Linked DNA regions of Drosophila melanogaster. The protein of the gene in region 1 interacts with the protein of each later gene in a pairwise test. Each region holds a gene or a part of one and is shown in the gene's direction. Other genes may lie near its edges.

Region 1 (6,577 bases):
AAATTAACAAAATAGATATGGATAATATTTTATATATGTAAGTTCCTGACACCACTTTTCTTTCTGTGTGCCCATTTAAAAAAACATTTTTCTAAAAACATCTCTATAAAGAAATGCTTAAAAAATTATCTACATTTTTATAATAAAAATAGTTCCATTAGACCCTTTAAAAATAACCAAAATAATAACATTTTATATATAAGTTCCTGACACCACTTTTCTTTCTGTGTGCCAATTTCCAGCTACAAAATTGGCTTTAAATAAACCGCTAGACAATTGATTTATTATCGCCGTCACGTCATTGAGACGAACTCAATTGGCAGCATAGTTATAAGTGCTTATATATATATATATATATGTGCCAATGTGGGGGATGACACGCCCCAACTCCATAACCTGGCACTTAATTTAACTACGCAAATAGGGTTTACGGGCGCAGTTAACACATTTCCAGATCGATGGGAAGCGATTGTCCGTCCAATGAATGGGTCAATTTCACGCACTTACTCTCACCAGTCTCCCAGATTCCCAGGTGATTTGTGTGACCCATGGTGATCCATGTACTCCACCCACGTGCTAAGTGCCCGGTCAAATATGCAAATGTTTGCCGAGTTGGATGCACTGCAGCTGTGTTGGTCGCCACCCTTCCGGGTCTTTGGCATTTCCATTTCCATTTGAAGCACATTGGCCGTTTAGCATTTTTTGTCGCGCGCTCGTCATTCAAACAGAAACAGCTCGCATTATCGGCGCTTCTCTTTTGTGATTATGACCCTGAACTTCAGCGCTACTAAATGTATTAATTCAGTCGATTAATACCGCTAGTCGGGGTCTGTGCGAAATCTGCTCCTTGGCCGAGTTTCTAACGTAGCTGGTCAGAACGCCGAGAGCTGATGGATGATATTGGCCTGGATTGGTCAATAGGGTATATCATCTTGATGGGCTGCCCCTGAGCAAAGCAAGTTCTATAGTCTTATGTTTGAAATTGAATTTGTTTAACAAAGATGAATGACTCTTGACTAAACATATTGGCCTTTATGTGCAATAAATATTCTAAGGGCGCTATTAAAACGTAGTTAAATTGCGCTATTAAGAGCTTGCCAAACAAGTGAATCTTTATTGGGCCTGCAAGGCTGGTGATATTTCCTCACTAGCCAAACACCATTTTGTCTTCCCAATTAAGTTTCTTTATTATTAGAATTGTTATTTGCCTACATTTGTGGGTTTTTATAACACCGTAATGCTATTTCTAAAAAAGCTATAATTAGACATTCTTGTATTACTTTAATTAATTAATTTAAATATATATATTTTAAGTAAGCTGTGATGTTGTCTTTGTTGTCTTTGCAAAAGTGTCCAAGGAATGGCAGATATGTGCATACTTAAGTAGGTTAAATATCGGGGAACTACACATGCTAATTCATAACTACCAGGCTTAAGTTGAGTTCATTGTTGATGTTTTTTAATGAGATGCCTTAACATTTTTTGAAAACAATTTCTCTGTTACTGAAGTGTTTACAGACTAGAGGAAAATTTTCTATTCATATAATATACGTCTTGTAATTTCGTCACGGTAATTTCTCATGAAAAAAAAAACAAATGCCTGTTAGGTATTTACGCAAATATCCAATATTTGGTCAGTTGAAGTACCACCTTTGATCGCCAATAAAAAGTTGTTAGCTCTCAAAAATGTTGACTAATAATGAAAGCACCTTGTTTACCGGGAGCAATACGATTTGCTGGCAAGCATTTTCAAATATGGCGGGCGCTGCGCAGAGTTGCCACATTGTTTTACAGAGCTGTGACTACAAAGTAGCGTTAACAGCCGTTAACAGCTGCTGCGTCAAGGTATGACCGCATTTCCTCCGTTCCCATATGATTGCTAGTGATTTTCCCTATCGCGCTTGCAGTCACACTGGAAAAAACACAGAAAAAATTAAATTAAGGGAAAACAGATGAAAAACTGCAATTGCACGCAATTGAAGCAAGTGCAGCAAATAGTTTTTCGCGCCAGTGTTGACTCCTGGGCCTGCCGTCGAAGCCACGCCAACTGCGCGACTTTCGAGTGGTAAGTGAATAGTAACGAAACGCCAGTGAAATCGAGTGATTAATCGTTCGTTTGTGTTGTGACACTTTCTGTAACTTCGTATAAAAAAAATGGGAACTGCGCAAGTGGAGTGCAGGTGGGGGTTAAGCCAGTTGGTAGTATTCCACTCACACGTGGCCTTCTGGCTGCATTTTCCATGCACTTTGCTATCTATATAATGGTTTCCCCGAAATAGCAACTGCACCTTAACCCACTGAGGATCCCACTCGCATTTGAACACCATCTTATGTAAAAACGTAATTGGCAGCTAAGTTTCCTAAGTGATAAAACACACAAAGCTACCAGATACAGACTTATGTGCTACGTACAACCGATTTACTGGGGAACAAAGGTCGCGCCATACTATATAGCAATGCGATCGGAGCAGACCAATAAACAAATAAACAAATATCGCATTTCCCAGACGAGCTAGCGTTGAGCTAACAAACGCTTAGCATTGCTTTCGAACAACTAAATTCGTATGTATCGTATTGAACAGAACGTATTTCTCTTACAGAATACTATTTGCGGAGTGCAAAACGAATCCGCGGGATCGTAAGACCATGGATTCGGCCACTAATCTCCTCGAGCAACAGGGCTCAGCGGCTGATGTGAGTGGCGGGAGCCATCCCGCCGAGGTGGAGGTAACCACCCAGGCTCGAGCCACTTTCGGCATGGACGCCGAAGGACATGCTACCGGCGAGGCGGTGACCACCACCACGGCCACCTTGCGTAGAGAAGGTTCAGACGAGGATATCTTTGAGCAGGTGCAGATGATCCTGCGCAAGCGACGTGGCTGGGGACCGGAGGACTCGCTTAGCCCCAATGATCTGGACATTCTGGAGTACGACGATGAGTTGGTCGAGGAGGATGACGCCGGTTGTCCACTCCCCTCGACCCCGGAGGACACACAGCTTATTGAGGCGGAGGTGAGTTGGGGCTATTAACCTTTATTTCCATTTTCCACCAGGTGGAAAAGTACGAAATGCAATCGTCAAAACATGTGGCGGAGCTCTTATCGCTGACCTACCACCATGTGGTTATCGGCTGCCACTTGTTAGTCGCAATTTTCCCTCTGCGCAGGCAGTCATTTCAATGTCGGGCGTCTTATCAATCGAAATGTTGCATTGGCCAATGTCTATTTGCCACATGCAAAATGTACCATAACCATTGTACTTAAACCTTATCGTGGCCATTTCTCCATTTTTATGACTCACTAAATACAATTGCTCAATTTAAAGCATATTCCATAGCCATTTGAAAGTTATACCTCTTATCTCTCCTTGCCTTTAATGTCTGTCCGAAAGGTGTCAAGTAAAATTTCTTGACTTTGAGCCTTATACTCTAGACAATCTGCCCGTTTGATCACCGGCTTTAAAGGTCAGGCTTAGATTGAACGCAAAAAGCTTTGGCATAGCCCTTTATACGACAGATGCTGGAAAAAAATCACAAATTTACGTCGATGCGGTGCTGATAATGCCCGGAGTCAGTTTCGGGCAAGCTTATCTTATCGCGGAACGCATTCGGTGCTTTCTTGTTCCGCCAACAAATTGAGTATGCGACTGGCAGAGGCTTCACAGTACAATCGCTCATTGCCTCGCACATTTAGTTCTAGTTCCGTTCGAATCTCTGTTAGCCGCTCAAGATGCAGACCCAGCCGGAGGTTATAGTGCGTGTCAACCCGGATCTGGAGCCGGATCTCAGTCAAGAAACTTACAGAACCCAAAACCCTGACACAGTCAAGGAGCAAGCTGAAAATGCAGTCGTTAGTCCCATTTGCTCTTAGTTTTTCTTTGTTATTAAGCTTTTTATATTTGTTTTGAGAGCTGTTTAATGTCTTATCACTCTATTCCACAGATGACGGAAGTGCTGAAGGCCGGAGTTCTCTCCGATGAAATTGATTTGGGCGCATTGGCACACAATGCCGCCGAGCAGGCAGAGGAGTTTGTGCGCAAGGTAAGCCAAGTGATGCTGCCAAGTGAAGAATGGCTTAAATGGAAGATACTCTTCAAGATTTGTAATATTGTAGCTTTTGTATTTTTGTTTTTATTTCAATAAATAGTATTAAGTGTTGGGACTGTATTTTTTGTTGTTGTTGTTTGTTTATAGTTACCAAACGTAATGTCTTATCTATAGAATGATATGTTATTTTTTTCCATTTCATCCGTAGGTCTGGGAGGCTAGCTGGAAAGTGTGCCACTACAAAAATCTACCCAAGTGGCTGCAGGATAACGACTTCCTACACCGCGGCCATCGCCCACCGCTCCCCTCTTTCCGTGCGTGCTTTAAATCAATTTTCCGCGTGCACACGGAAACGGGCAACATCTGGACACATCTTCTTGGCTGCATCGCCTTCATCGGCGTGGCATTATACTTCATCTCGCGTCCCTCGGTTGAGATCCAGACACAGGAGAAGATCGTTTTTGGCGCCTTCTTTATCGGTGCGATTGTGTGCCTAGGATTCTCATTCGCTTTTCACACACTGAGCTGTCATTCTGTAGAGATGGGAAGACTGTTTTCTAAGTAAGTATTCCTCGACTAATTAAATGGATATTATGTTAATTGTTTTGTTTACCAACAGACTTGACTACTGTGGAATTGCGCTGCTGATCATGGGTTCCTTTGTGCCTTGGCTGTACTATGGCTTCTACTGTCATTACCAGCCAAAGGTGATATACCTATCCGTTGTTAGCATTCTGGGCATCCTCTCCATCGTGGTCTCGCTATGGGACAAGTTTTCGGAGCCGGCACTTCGTCCCTTGCGCGCTGGCGTATTTATGAGCTTTGGCCTGTCGGGTGTGATTCCAGCTATTCACTACAGCATCATGGAGGGCTGGTTCAGCCAGATGAGCCGCGCCAGTCTGGGATGGCTAATTCTGATGGGTGAGTGCTTGTAGATATGCATATTAAAATAATGGTAAAACAATGGCAAAATACATCTTGCAGGCCTCCTCTACATTCTGGGCGCACTGCTGTACGCCCTCCGTGTTCCCGAACGCTGGTTCCCTGGAAAGTTTGACATTTGGGTACGATTCTTGATGGTTTTGTCCTTTGCACCGTTCTAACAGTCTTTTATTTTGCAGGGTCAATCACATCAAATATTCCACATACTGGTCATTGCGGCCGCTTTTGTCCACTACCATGGCATCTCTGAAATGGCCATGTACCGCGTCATGTATAGCGAATGCACTGTTCCCATCGAACCAATAACCTTTTAGATGCTGAAGTGGATGCCAAGAAACAATCATCGTAAAAGCACATACAATCCCATTCATAGTACGAGTAAAACATATATTAATGCGAACTAGCGCAGTTTTACAATGCAACCTTTTTAGCGTTTGGGGAGCATTTGTACCTTGTTATACAAAATCAACGGAACCATATAGAAGACAAAAACACACACTTAACACACAATTACACGCATTTATCATCAAAATCTTGCATAGAAAAAAAAAAATTGCAAAACCAGTTGATTGTCGAATGAAATCTGCAGTAGAGAAATTAATATATGTACAATTATTTATAAAATTCCAATTTGTCTACTTAATGTTGTCGTAAGTTGATTTACATTTCGAGTAGTGCAGAATTGCTTGCATCTGAAATTGGCAAAACGAGATGACTTCCGCTCAAGGGTTCCATTGCTAAAACAGGATCTAAAGGAGCTACCATGTCAGCCAAGCAATTACTTTAAGTTATGCAATTAGATGATCCCCTTGTGGCATTAGTATTTACCTTACCGCTTAGAGTTGTTAGGGTTGTATGGAGTAATGAACATACGTTTCATCGTTAAATGAGGTCTGATTTTATATTCACACATATACACAGCACATCACAAATTCCGCATCCCTGCACCCACACGGCAGAGCATCGCGCATGGAGCCTAAGATATTATATCACCATATACATTATAAATGCAGATCTATCACAAAACATAAAGCGAATCAAAACAATAAAAAAAAAAGCTGAGACTTCTAAAAGAGCGTTTTGGTGAAGATTGCTATATTAAGCCATATATAATTTTATTTCTTGGCGCAAAAACTATTTTAAGGTTTGCTGATTGCCATTGAGCAATTCGGCGGTTGCCATCACCCTAATGCCTGGCCATAAATATCGCTGCAGAGAACTAGAAATTCGCATCGGGGTTATTAGTGGAGTTCAGTCTGCTGATGACTGGGCGAATGCCGAGTTGACTTTGACCCCCTTGATGAAGTGAGCAGCCGTGGTCTAGTCGCCGAGATCTCGGATCGCGATCTGATTCCTCTGCTGCCTTGTGTTCTATGCGTCGTCATTGTCTTCGCCGTGTGCCAGTTTCTATCGACAAATCCGCAGATCGTTAAACCTTTTATTTTGCACGGCGCAAATAAATCGAACTTTGTACTTGACAACTTGTCGGCACGTGTCTTTCAACTAAATGCGATTGCAGGGGTTTTATTTTACAAACAAAAATTCAAGTTCAGCAGAAAAAAAAGCAAATGACTTGGTCGAAATAAGGCG
Region 2 (6,595 bases), on another chromosome or scaffold:
AGCCTTGAGGTCCTATCCAAGGAATCTTTTGGGTCCCAACCGGAATGTGCGTTTATTGATCCGAAACCAAAGTCCTCCACGGGTAATATCGCCTCCAAAAGGAGCGACCGATGCTTGCATCGCTGATCTCAGATCTTAGATCGAAGAATACGGACAATAATCGTTTAGAGATAAAAGATCCAAAATTTGCGAACATCACATTTATAAGTTTGTAGTTCGCTCCCCCACAGTCTTGATATTGGCGGCAAGATGTTCTCTCGAAAAGCTTATTCCAGAGCTTTTCGTTTCGATAAAAGTTGGACTGCAGATCTGAAAGAAAGTATAATATGTAAATATCTTGAGAAGTTAATAAAATGGGTGATAAAGTAATACGACATTGGTAATTATCAAAATAGTCGGTATTCGGATTTGGAACCGGCGGAACGATGCTTCTTAGATTGATCTGATTCAATAGTTCGGTTAGATTCATTTAAAAAATCTTACATAAGCTTAAAAAACGAGAACGACACCTTTATCGTCCTAGTCCGATACACTGCAAAAATTCGCGTATCAGCGTTATTTTTATCAAAAAAATTATCTTTTTGTTACGAACGCGTAAGCAATTCAAGGTGGGATTAATCCTAAATGTGGGGATAGTTCAGCAAACTAACATTATAAAGAATATTTAATTACACACGTTACTCATCATAAAAAAGGATAACTAACCGAGTCGGTCTGGCCATGTCAATCTGGCAAGCAGATTCTACACACGACTGTGGAAGATTGTTTGAGAACGTTGCTATGCAATCGCTAATGCACAAAACTGTTACAACTACATTTTTGAAACAAGTCGGTATTTTTTCCATTTTATTGAATTATTTAGTTTATTGATCCAACGAAACGAAAGTCCTCCTCGAGTAATATCACCTCCAAAAGGGGCGACCGATGCCTGCATCTCTTATCTGAGATCATAGATCGAAGCCTACGGACATTTATCGTTTAGTGATAAAATATTTAAGTTTTTGAACATCACATTTAGCAGTTTGGAGATCGCTCCCTTACAGTTTTGAAATTGGCGGCAATAGCTTTCTGGTTCCATAACAGTTTTAGATCCGAAAGTAAGTATAATATATCTTGAGAAGTTAATCAAATGGTTGTCAGAGTAATACATCGTTGGTGAAAAAAATTTGGTTTCCATTTTACAATTATATCAAAGCAATCGGTATTCGGTTTCGAGAGCGAAGCCGTTATTTCGAAACCGTTACCGCGAACCGGTTCCCAGCGAGCCGCGGCTCGCCAGTCGCGAAAACACAACGAATGCACAATCTAGAGGTGGAGAAATATTGATGTTGGCGGGCATCAAAGCTTCCAATGTTTTTGGCGAAAAACATCGATGTTTAAAATAAAAACAACAAAATTTACCTGCTTAATTTAATGATTATTTTTTAATATTGCTTAAATAAAAAGGCAGTACTTTAAGAAAAGAAAAACAAACTTATTGTCGTCTCCGTTTTCATCAGCCGCTGGTCCAATAGTTGCTCCTATAAAACAAATTAATACAATTAAATGGAAAAGTAAACCAGTATGCATACGAGCAACTGCAAGTGCACAAATCGGGAGTTCAAAACTAACATTTCAGATATTAATCCATGTGCTATGTTATGCTTTTAATAATTGCATTAGAAAATATGGAAAATTAATTTGTACTTACAATTCATACACTTTTCTTCTCCGATGCGCAGTAGAGATGGAAAAACATCGATGTTTTCTCGAAAAACATCGATGTTTATGATTTTTCAAAAACATCGATGTTTCTCCACCTCTACAACGAACGCACAATCACAAGCGCCGCTCGCGAGAACGAGAACGGGAACTCGAAAGAACCTAGATCGCTGATCGGAGAACCGTGGAACCCGTGGAACCGTAACCGTGAAAGTGGGGAATCGAAGATAGAACGGAGAGGGTGGTAGGCCGATTCCCTCTCCCCACTGCCCGTTGAAATTCAGAATACTAAGCTCTCGGTTAAACGCGGCGAAAAAGAAAGCAAGCTCTGAGCGGCTGAAAAAAAAATGAAGTGAAATAAAACTGGGATCGCGGCACCAGCAACAAGTTTTAGTGGCTCTTCTTTGTGCGTTTCGTTCGTGTTTGCTGCCCTGCGCTTTGCTCGCCACATTCGTCGCCGACTTTTATTTTGTTTTGCCCATTTTATCAGAATCGGAGCACCTCCAAAAAAGCCCAAGACGAGCTGAGCCTCAGCTGCGTCGAGGTGAGCTGATCCACTCCGCTCCCCTTTCGTGCGCTGCCCACCGCTCCCCACCGCTCACACCCGATCCCATCCAATCCAATCCGATCCGCTCCGCTCCGAGTGCATAGTGCATGCAAAGTCGCGGGGCTGGGCTTTCGGAATTACACAACCCACATGGGGCAGCGCCAACAAAGGCCTCAGCAGCAACAATAGCGGGCAGCCAAGCATTGCCCTGCCCTCGACTTCGACCATGGCTCCCACCACCAGTCCGCCACCCAAGCTGGCCAAGTTCAAGTCCTCGTCGCTGGACCACGAGATCTACACGGCCAATCGCCGCGGCACCATTGCCACGGCCTCCAGCGACTGGAAGGCGCTCCGCGGAGGCGTCGGTGGAGGAGCAGGAGGACCCGGTAGCGTACCCAATCCCTCTAACGGACGCTCCCTTCACGCCGGCGGACCCATGACACGGGCCGCCTCCACATCCTCGCTGGCTAGCAGTACGCGCACGATGACTAACTACCAGGAGTACAAAATGGATATCATCAACCAGGTGAGGACCAGAAATGGGTGACCAGTGGCTCCGTCCTTTGCTATGGACAATTTGGGAATTATTTAGTTGAAGTCTTGAGAGTATGCTGGGACTGTTGCCTTATAAAGTAAGCGTCTGATTCAGCATATGTTCAAAAAAATTTACGAGTGTTACTCAGCCAATGGAATTGCAAGGAAGTTAAATAGGGAGATATTCACCAGCAAAGTGAGTGTTTCAGCAAGGAACTATTGAATGCCTTGGATTAGCTTTAATCTTTTGCAGAATTCTAGAATTCCGATGGGTATTCTTAAATATAAGACCAATTCGTACACATAGAGGCAGCTATGTATGTATGTATGTGGTCCAGACCAAGCAGATGTCTTCCTTATAGGCCAGAATTCTCTAAAATTATACAATTACAGTCATTTCGGTTGGAAAATTAGAAAAACTAAGCCAAGATAATACAAATTAAATTTGCAAGTGGTTTTAAAAGCATTATGAACTTTAGCGGTCAAGGCTTTGTTACAAATAATTTATATTCTTTTGACAAGTTTTCAGGGCTCATATGCATTGTTTTAATGTTGAAATTTACAATAGATACTTCTTCGATAAATAAGACTTCTTATAGTTCATAGCAATGCGCCTGGTGATATAAAAGTTTAATCAACACAAATACTTAAATTTCTTAAGAGGTTGAGGACATGTGCTTTACTTTAAGGTGTAATTATTTTAAACATGACTCGGTTTCAACCCACATTTAAATATATAGTTTTGCGTTAAAATAGTTAAAAACCTTGATAATAGTTATATATATTAGTTGTTATAGTTATTCTATTCCAGCCTTATGTTGCCACTCAATGTTTTTTTTTTAAATTATTTTAAGTAATATCTAACGTTATCAACATAGAATGAGTCAGAAAATAAACTGGTCATGCATCGGAACATGTGCACATAATTAAAACCGATTTTTGAGACATACATATAAATACAACAGTTTGGTGATTAAATATTCAGCAAGTACGCAAAATGAGAAACACAACACAAAACTAAAAGAAAAAGCTGTTCAAACAAATTGCCTAATTTCGTGGACAAATTTCGAAATTGCCAAAATGAAACGGAACAGACAACTGCAAACAGATTCCAATTTAATGTGCAGAACTGTTTGCGGTATCAACTAATTTTCGATGGCTCTGATCGAGGACGATCCATCCGAATCTCTGCTATCCACCATTTGGGTCTTGACTGTCTCAACTTAATTGATAAGGCAAATATTTTTGTTTCCACCATTCGTTTATCTGAGACTGATAAAACTATTTACTCCGCTCCTCCAGGTGAGCGACATGTAAAGTGTTTATTAAATATATTTGCCTATGTGGTTGCTTTCGCCGGGCTGATAACTTCTTGAGGAATTTATCATTAAGCGCATTGCGGAAGTTTTCTCAGAATGCAGTCCTCTAAAGTAAACGCCATTTTCTCTGACAAATCAGATGGAATGGGCCATAACCAGGCTGCATAGAGGTTTTCAAGGAAAATAATAGCAACTAAAGAAAAGGGAAGAACCGCGAAAGCGCCACGGGTGGAACCATTATAAACAAGTATTCCAAAAATAAACCGACCACTAACTATACAACCCGAAAGCCTCAGGTGATGAATTCATCGAACTCTGGCCATTCAAGTAAATCTTATGGTATTTGGTCGCACCAAACCCGCCAAAAGGAAAGAGTTGGGCGCACAAGTGTTCGCCATAACAAGATCACGTAAACAAATTGACGGATTTATTAATATTTCGCTGGGAGGCTGGACGGGTTCGGAGTAGCTTCGATAGACTTTTCAAGACACTAGCTTCAAGGCCGGTGATTTGGCATGGGCTTGATTTCTTTGGCTGGCCATGTCATAAGTCAAGTTGGCTCCAAAGTGAGTAATTGTCTGTTTACTTGGCTGCGGAATCGTTGGCGTGACGAACGGTAATTGTGCGACATAAATTGTCGAAGGAAACTTGCAACTAAATGGGTCGGAATTGAACGCAACATGGTGGGGAATGCCTTAATTACGCCAAACGTTTCGCGTCTTTCAGATTCCATAAGTAAATTTTTAGTTGTCTTAATGCCTTTCCACAGCACGTGCTGATCGCTTCTTTTGTTTAAGTCGTTGTTCAAAGTTTATTACCGCCATGTGCACCTGCCATCAGTTTGGCTGCATGTTTAGATACTCTGTAAGAGGTGTGATTGAAATAGCCCAGGTGTCTACGGAATCCTGTAAACGGATTCAGAGCGACGTAAATAGAACATATGCATGTTCGCCGGAAAACTCGAGGCAGTCGATTGATATTGTTTAAGTGGCCCGCTGATGGAGCGAAATTGCCTGGCAATGATCAAAGCACTGTAGTTAATTTGATTGTGATTGAACTTTTGGCTTTGTCGTTCTATTCCAGGGGAAATGTCTGTGTGGTCAGTACATCAGAGCGCGGCTGCGACGGGCAGGAGTCCTCAACCGGAAGGTGACACAGCGTTTGCGCAACATCCTGGACCCCGGCTCCTCGCACGTGGTCTATGAAGTTTTCCCGGCACTGAACAGCGTGAGTGTACTGCCATTCGCCATTGAATCTTTTCATAACATGGTATAATCCACAGATGGGCGAGGAACTGGAGCGGATGCACCCGCGGGTGTACACAAACATATCGCGACAGCTGTCGAGGGCCCCGTTTGGCGAGCTGGAGGACAGCGACATGGCGCCCATGTTGCTCAACCTAGTTGCCAAGGATCTTTTTCGCTCCAGCATCACCTGGGGCAAGATAATCTCGATATTTGCCGTATGCGGCGGCTTTGCCATAGACTGCGTGCGCCAGGGACATTTCGACTACCTACAGTGCCTGATTGACGGTCTGGCTGAGATCATAGAGGACGACCTGGTCTACTGGCTGATCGACAACGGCGGATGGTTGGGCCTGTCGCGGCACATCCGACCCCGGGTCGGCGAATTTACGTTCTTGGGATGGTTGACGCTGTTCGTGACTATCTCTGCAGGCGCATATATGGTCTCAAACGTGTGTCGGCGCATTGGAGGTCAACTGTATTCGCTGCTGTTCTAGATTCGCTTGGGATCGCGTCGTTAAGAAATACAATCGTACCATTTAGTCAATGAGAGCTTCAAATCATTCCTGCTTCCATGGGCACCAGTCGTTTAGTAGTATGTAACGGACCCTGTTTTACGTATAATATTGTTATTCCCTTTCTCCTCTTTTTGTACATACAAGGCTATTCTAGGCGCAATAAAGCGTGTGTTGTAAACTTTTTTTTCGAATTTGGCGCGAAGTCTGGGTGTTATGCACGGAACTGCATTACTTTATGTCCGTGTTTAGCAACACTGGAAACGCCGTGGAGGTGCCAATATTTTGAGTACGACAATTCGTCTTTAAAATGTTATAGTGCCCAATCTTTGACTGTTGAACAGTGTATCTGTTACCAGAAATTAAAGACGAATCGACTAACATAATCTCTCAGTTAAACAAAAAATATAAAAGTTAACTTTGCTGACAAAAGTTTTTATAATTTTGTAATTACTGGTTCAATGTTCTAGTCTTTAAAATAAATGTTATTAACATTTTAAATTTTGATTGTTAGCCTTGCCACCCAGCTAAAACGCAAATACTTACCCAGCCCTGTGGCAACGCTTCGATTTCCAAAAACCATTTGTTATTATTGCTGTGGATCTGCCCATTATTATTTGTTGTAAATAAAGATTGGAGCAAATTATGCCATGTCATGTAAGTGCACTGATTCCGTGGGTATGAACGTCGAGTAACATGCACTTGCAGCGTCCAACCAGGCCGAGGAGACTACCC
Region 3 (3,361 bases), on another chromosome or scaffold:
GCCCATCGATGCCATGGCTCCCATTCCCTATCCCATTCCCTCCATCCATCGCCCTTTTCCAGATCGAGCGACAGTAAAAGTGGCCCGGGCATGCTAATCCGGAAGTAGGTCATTTTCCGAACGCAAATGAAAGCGTGAGCTCAGCTCGAACTCGGGCTGAAAAGCGATGAAAATCGTAGTGATGAATACATATGTGTGCCTGCTGCGAGTGGGATGCGCTGCCATGGGAAATTGAAACCGAAAACTTCAGTGGAAAGCGAGCTTCAAATGGGAGTCGCATGCACAGAGCCACTGTCATTATAATACGGCAATCAAAATGAGAAATAAGACATAAGATTTGTATGCGAATGGTGTGACTGGGAATAAAGAAGGCTATCTTAAAGTTACTATGAAAATCATCTAACGACGTTAATAAACATAATCATAACTTCATATAGTAAGATGTGCATTTGAGATTTCAAGCCATACTAGTTAAATTTTCTTTGTTCTATTTACTTTTTGAATATAAATTATAGTATGGTTAAGTTTTAAATAGTTTATTTCTCATCAAGATTAGCTGATGAATTTTTCCACTTAATTGAATTTTAAATGCGCAGTTATCTAAAATATGTTGGGTTCCGTTCTCCTTCTAAGGTAAATTCCAGTTTGCTGTCCGTATAACACCATTCTTGACCAAGATTACAAGGCATTTACAAGGCATAAAGACTTTTGACCATTTGTGGAAAGCAGCGGCCATTTAAGCAGCGTTCCGTAGACACCACGCAAAATGCGAGCAACTTGCGCATAAATCGCTATGTTTTAAACAATTAACAGTGGCCACCTACCCAAAATGGGGGATCCAAAACGATTCACAGAGTGACCGATCGCCCACGAGATGGCCATGCCTCAGTTTTCTGAATCCCACGTTCAATTTCGCTTTCAATTTGACGCGTGCGCAGGCGCAACCTTTCAATTTACATATGTGGACATGTGGGCGAAATTTTAGTATAATTTTTTCTCATTCTAGCCGCTCTGCGGATGCTGAAAGTTTTTTCAATTGCAGTTTCACTTTTAGCTAAAGACAATGGTTCGTTTTTATGATCTGCTTTTTTTTTATTTTTCTTTAATTTGGCTTGGGAATTGCGTTTGCATCGGTAACACATATATCGTGACTTCAATGATCTCAGATATACATTGCCGGATTTTATGTAATTAATTATGTACAGCATCTATAACTACATAGCAACTATTTTAAGGTATAGTAAAAACATATTTTGTATAATTAACACGGTATTTTCCTTAATCGACCAGCAATTCAAAGAAACCAACACTTTTCTCGCTTTTATATTGTTGAAAACCATGTTAAATTGATTGTCTAAGAATTTGATATTTACATATATTATTTCAATAAATACTCGACTATGGCATTTTTCTTTGTATATTTGTTTGAACTGCGTAAGTCTTAAAATTGTTAGCCTCGACTAAAGCACCCGATGCCAAGAAGAATCTTATAAAAAAAACCGAAGATATCCGTCCGGAGGCCAGAAAAATGTATATATCTTAATATCTAGAATACTACAGGACTAAAATGTATATTCAACGAATATTTATATATTTTGATGATGTTTTTTTTTTTTTTGAAAATTGCAATACTACAAGATCATATTTATAAATATCAAGCAGAACGAAACAAGAGCCGTTGCAAAAGCGCTTATGTAACATGAAATTCGTATATATAAGGAATGCAATAATACCTTACTTCAGCTGAAGCCACTTCTTCGAAATGAACCAGATTTTATTATGCTCTCCAATTTTACGTAAGTTGACTTATGCATTTTTGAGCACATTTAAGAACGAGTATCTTTTCGTTTAGTGCTGCTTTTTACAGTGGCAAGCTGCGATAGTGAGCAACAACTCGATTCAGCTATGCACCTGAAAAGTGATTCTACGAAAAGTGCATCTCTGAAAAATGTTGCTCCCAAGAATGATGAGACACAGGCCAAAATAGCCAAAGATGATGTAGCTCTGAAAGATGCGAAAAAGGGCGATTATATAATGGATATCGATATTTCTGATTTGCCGCTGGATGATTATCCAATCAATAGGTCCAAATCACTAAAAAGCTCTTCCATTGACTTGAATAATATTCCTTTCAATAAAGGACTAGATGATTTCCCGGCAAAAGAAAAAAATCAAGGATCCAATCAAAGTGCGCTCAAGGCCCTGCAACAGAGGTTACTAACGGAGCAGAACAATAGTTTACTTCTCCGGAACCATTCCATATACTTGATGAAAGAAATAGAGGCCAGAAAAACGGATATTATCAAAGTACGACAGTTAAACCTCGATTTAGAGCTCGAGCTAAATACTGTGAACCGCAGACTTTTGGAATTGAATGGGCAACTGCAAAACACTCGAAAGTCCACAAAGCCGTGTAAGAAACGTTCTAGTAAGGATAGCGCCCCACCTGCCGCCAATCAGTTTCAGGAAGCCAACGTCAGGAACACTTACCGTAACAAATATCTAACACTTCTGAAAGAACTTAGTCAGAAGATCAATAACGAAATCGCGAAAGTCGCTACCGATGTACCCACGGAGACAAATCCTTCCCAAGGGAATCTACCAACACTTTAATAGTTAAAATCATATGGTTTCCCATCATTTAAGAACAGAAACAATAGTATTGAGTCATTGCAAGACCTTCTAATTGCGCACTTACTTATTTTTCTGATCTTGTTAGCCGTAATAAATGCGATTCATAACGCTTAGGCCAAGTGCTGGTTGGATTCTTTACAGTCTAGAGAATACGTTTCCACAATGAACTACTTCGCGGTGATCTGCATTTTCTGTAAGTTCGTAAGGATCTTCGAGGTTCTTAGAGTTTGCCTAATTTAGTTTTCATCACTTAGCCTGCATTTGCCTTTGGCAATTTAGCGATGCTGCCCCCTTTATAAGCGTTCAGTCTAGTTCACAATCAAGATCCCAGAAAGTGATGAATGGCATGTTGAGAACCCTATACGACTACAGTGTTCAGGATAGTGTGAACGATGCGACTGGGCATTTGATACAAACTCACAAAGCAGACTTCAACTCGGATGTCATGAGTCCTGATGAAATAGAGAGTGTGCGCCAGCAACTGAACATGGCATAATTTTGGATTCACCAGCAAATATCTTAAACAGCGATTATTGCATATGCTTTTTAACCGCAGTTACTTCAAGCAAAATATTATGTATCTATGCAATATGTAATATATCATTTAAAAGATATAATAACCCAAATAAAGTATTTACCATATTATAATGGACATGGACTCTAAGAAGCTTTTGAAATAAGAGTTCCGATATTTTCCAAAGCTGTGATAAAATTGTATTTGAAATAT

The links.
Region 2: the proteins of AdipoR (region 1) and Debcl interact in a two-hybrid assay, tested with the Drosophila melanogaster proteins (one large-scale study listed by BioGRID).
Region 3: the proteins of AdipoR (region 1) and Acp26Aa interact in a two-hybrid assay, tested with the Drosophila melanogaster proteins (one large-scale study listed by BioGRID).

What each region holds. Positions count from the first base shown.
Region 1 is NT_033777.3:22,543,147-22,549,723, reverse strand, and holds AdipoR (adiponectin receptor), read left to right. Parts: upstream 1-1,877; 5' UTR 1,878-2,065; intron 2,066-2,158; exon of another isoform or gene 2,159-2,340; intron 2,341-2,525; exon of another isoform or gene 2,526-2,600; 5' UTR 2,601-2,646; coding exon 2,647-3,012; intron 3,013-3,450; exon of another isoform or gene 3,451-3,637; intron 3,638-3,692; exon of another isoform or gene 3,693-3,728; coding exon of another isoform or gene 3,729-3,848; intron 3,849-3,940; coding exon 3,941-4,039; intron 4,040-4,253; coding exon 4,254-4,606; intron 4,607-4,664; coding exon 4,665-4,966; intron 4,967-5,029; coding exon 5,030-5,109; intron 5,110-5,166; coding exon 5,167-5,301; 3' UTR 5,302-6,031; downstream 6,032-6,577. UniProt on the Drosophila melanogaster protein: Adiponectin receptor. In insulin-producing cells, regulates insulin secretion and controls glucose and lipid metabolism.
Region 2 is NT_033778.4:6,646,805-6,653,399, forward strand, and holds Debcl (death executioner Bcl-2), read left to right. Parts: upstream 1-1,849; 5' UTR 1,850-2,474; coding exon 2,475-2,774; intron 2,775-5,184; coding exon 5,185-5,328; intron 5,329-5,383; coding exon 5,384-5,842; 3' UTR 5,843-6,038; downstream 6,039-6,595. Other genes in the region: Opbp (Optix-binding protein), read left to right, coding at 6,511-6,517, 6,569-6,595.
Region 3 is NT_033779.5:5,892,273-5,895,633, reverse strand, and holds Acp26Aa (accessory gland protein 26Aa), read left to right. Parts: upstream 1-1,737; 5' UTR 1,738-1,762; coding exon 1,763-1,796; intron 1,797-1,852; coding exon 1,853-2,613; 3' UTR 2,614-2,751; downstream 2,752-3,361. Other genes in the region: Acp26Ab (accessory gland protein 26Ab), read left to right, coding at 2,797-2,827, 2,889-3,130. UniProt on the Drosophila melanogaster protein: Male seminal protein which enhances ovulation in female Drosophila by stimulating the release of oocytes by the ovary following mating.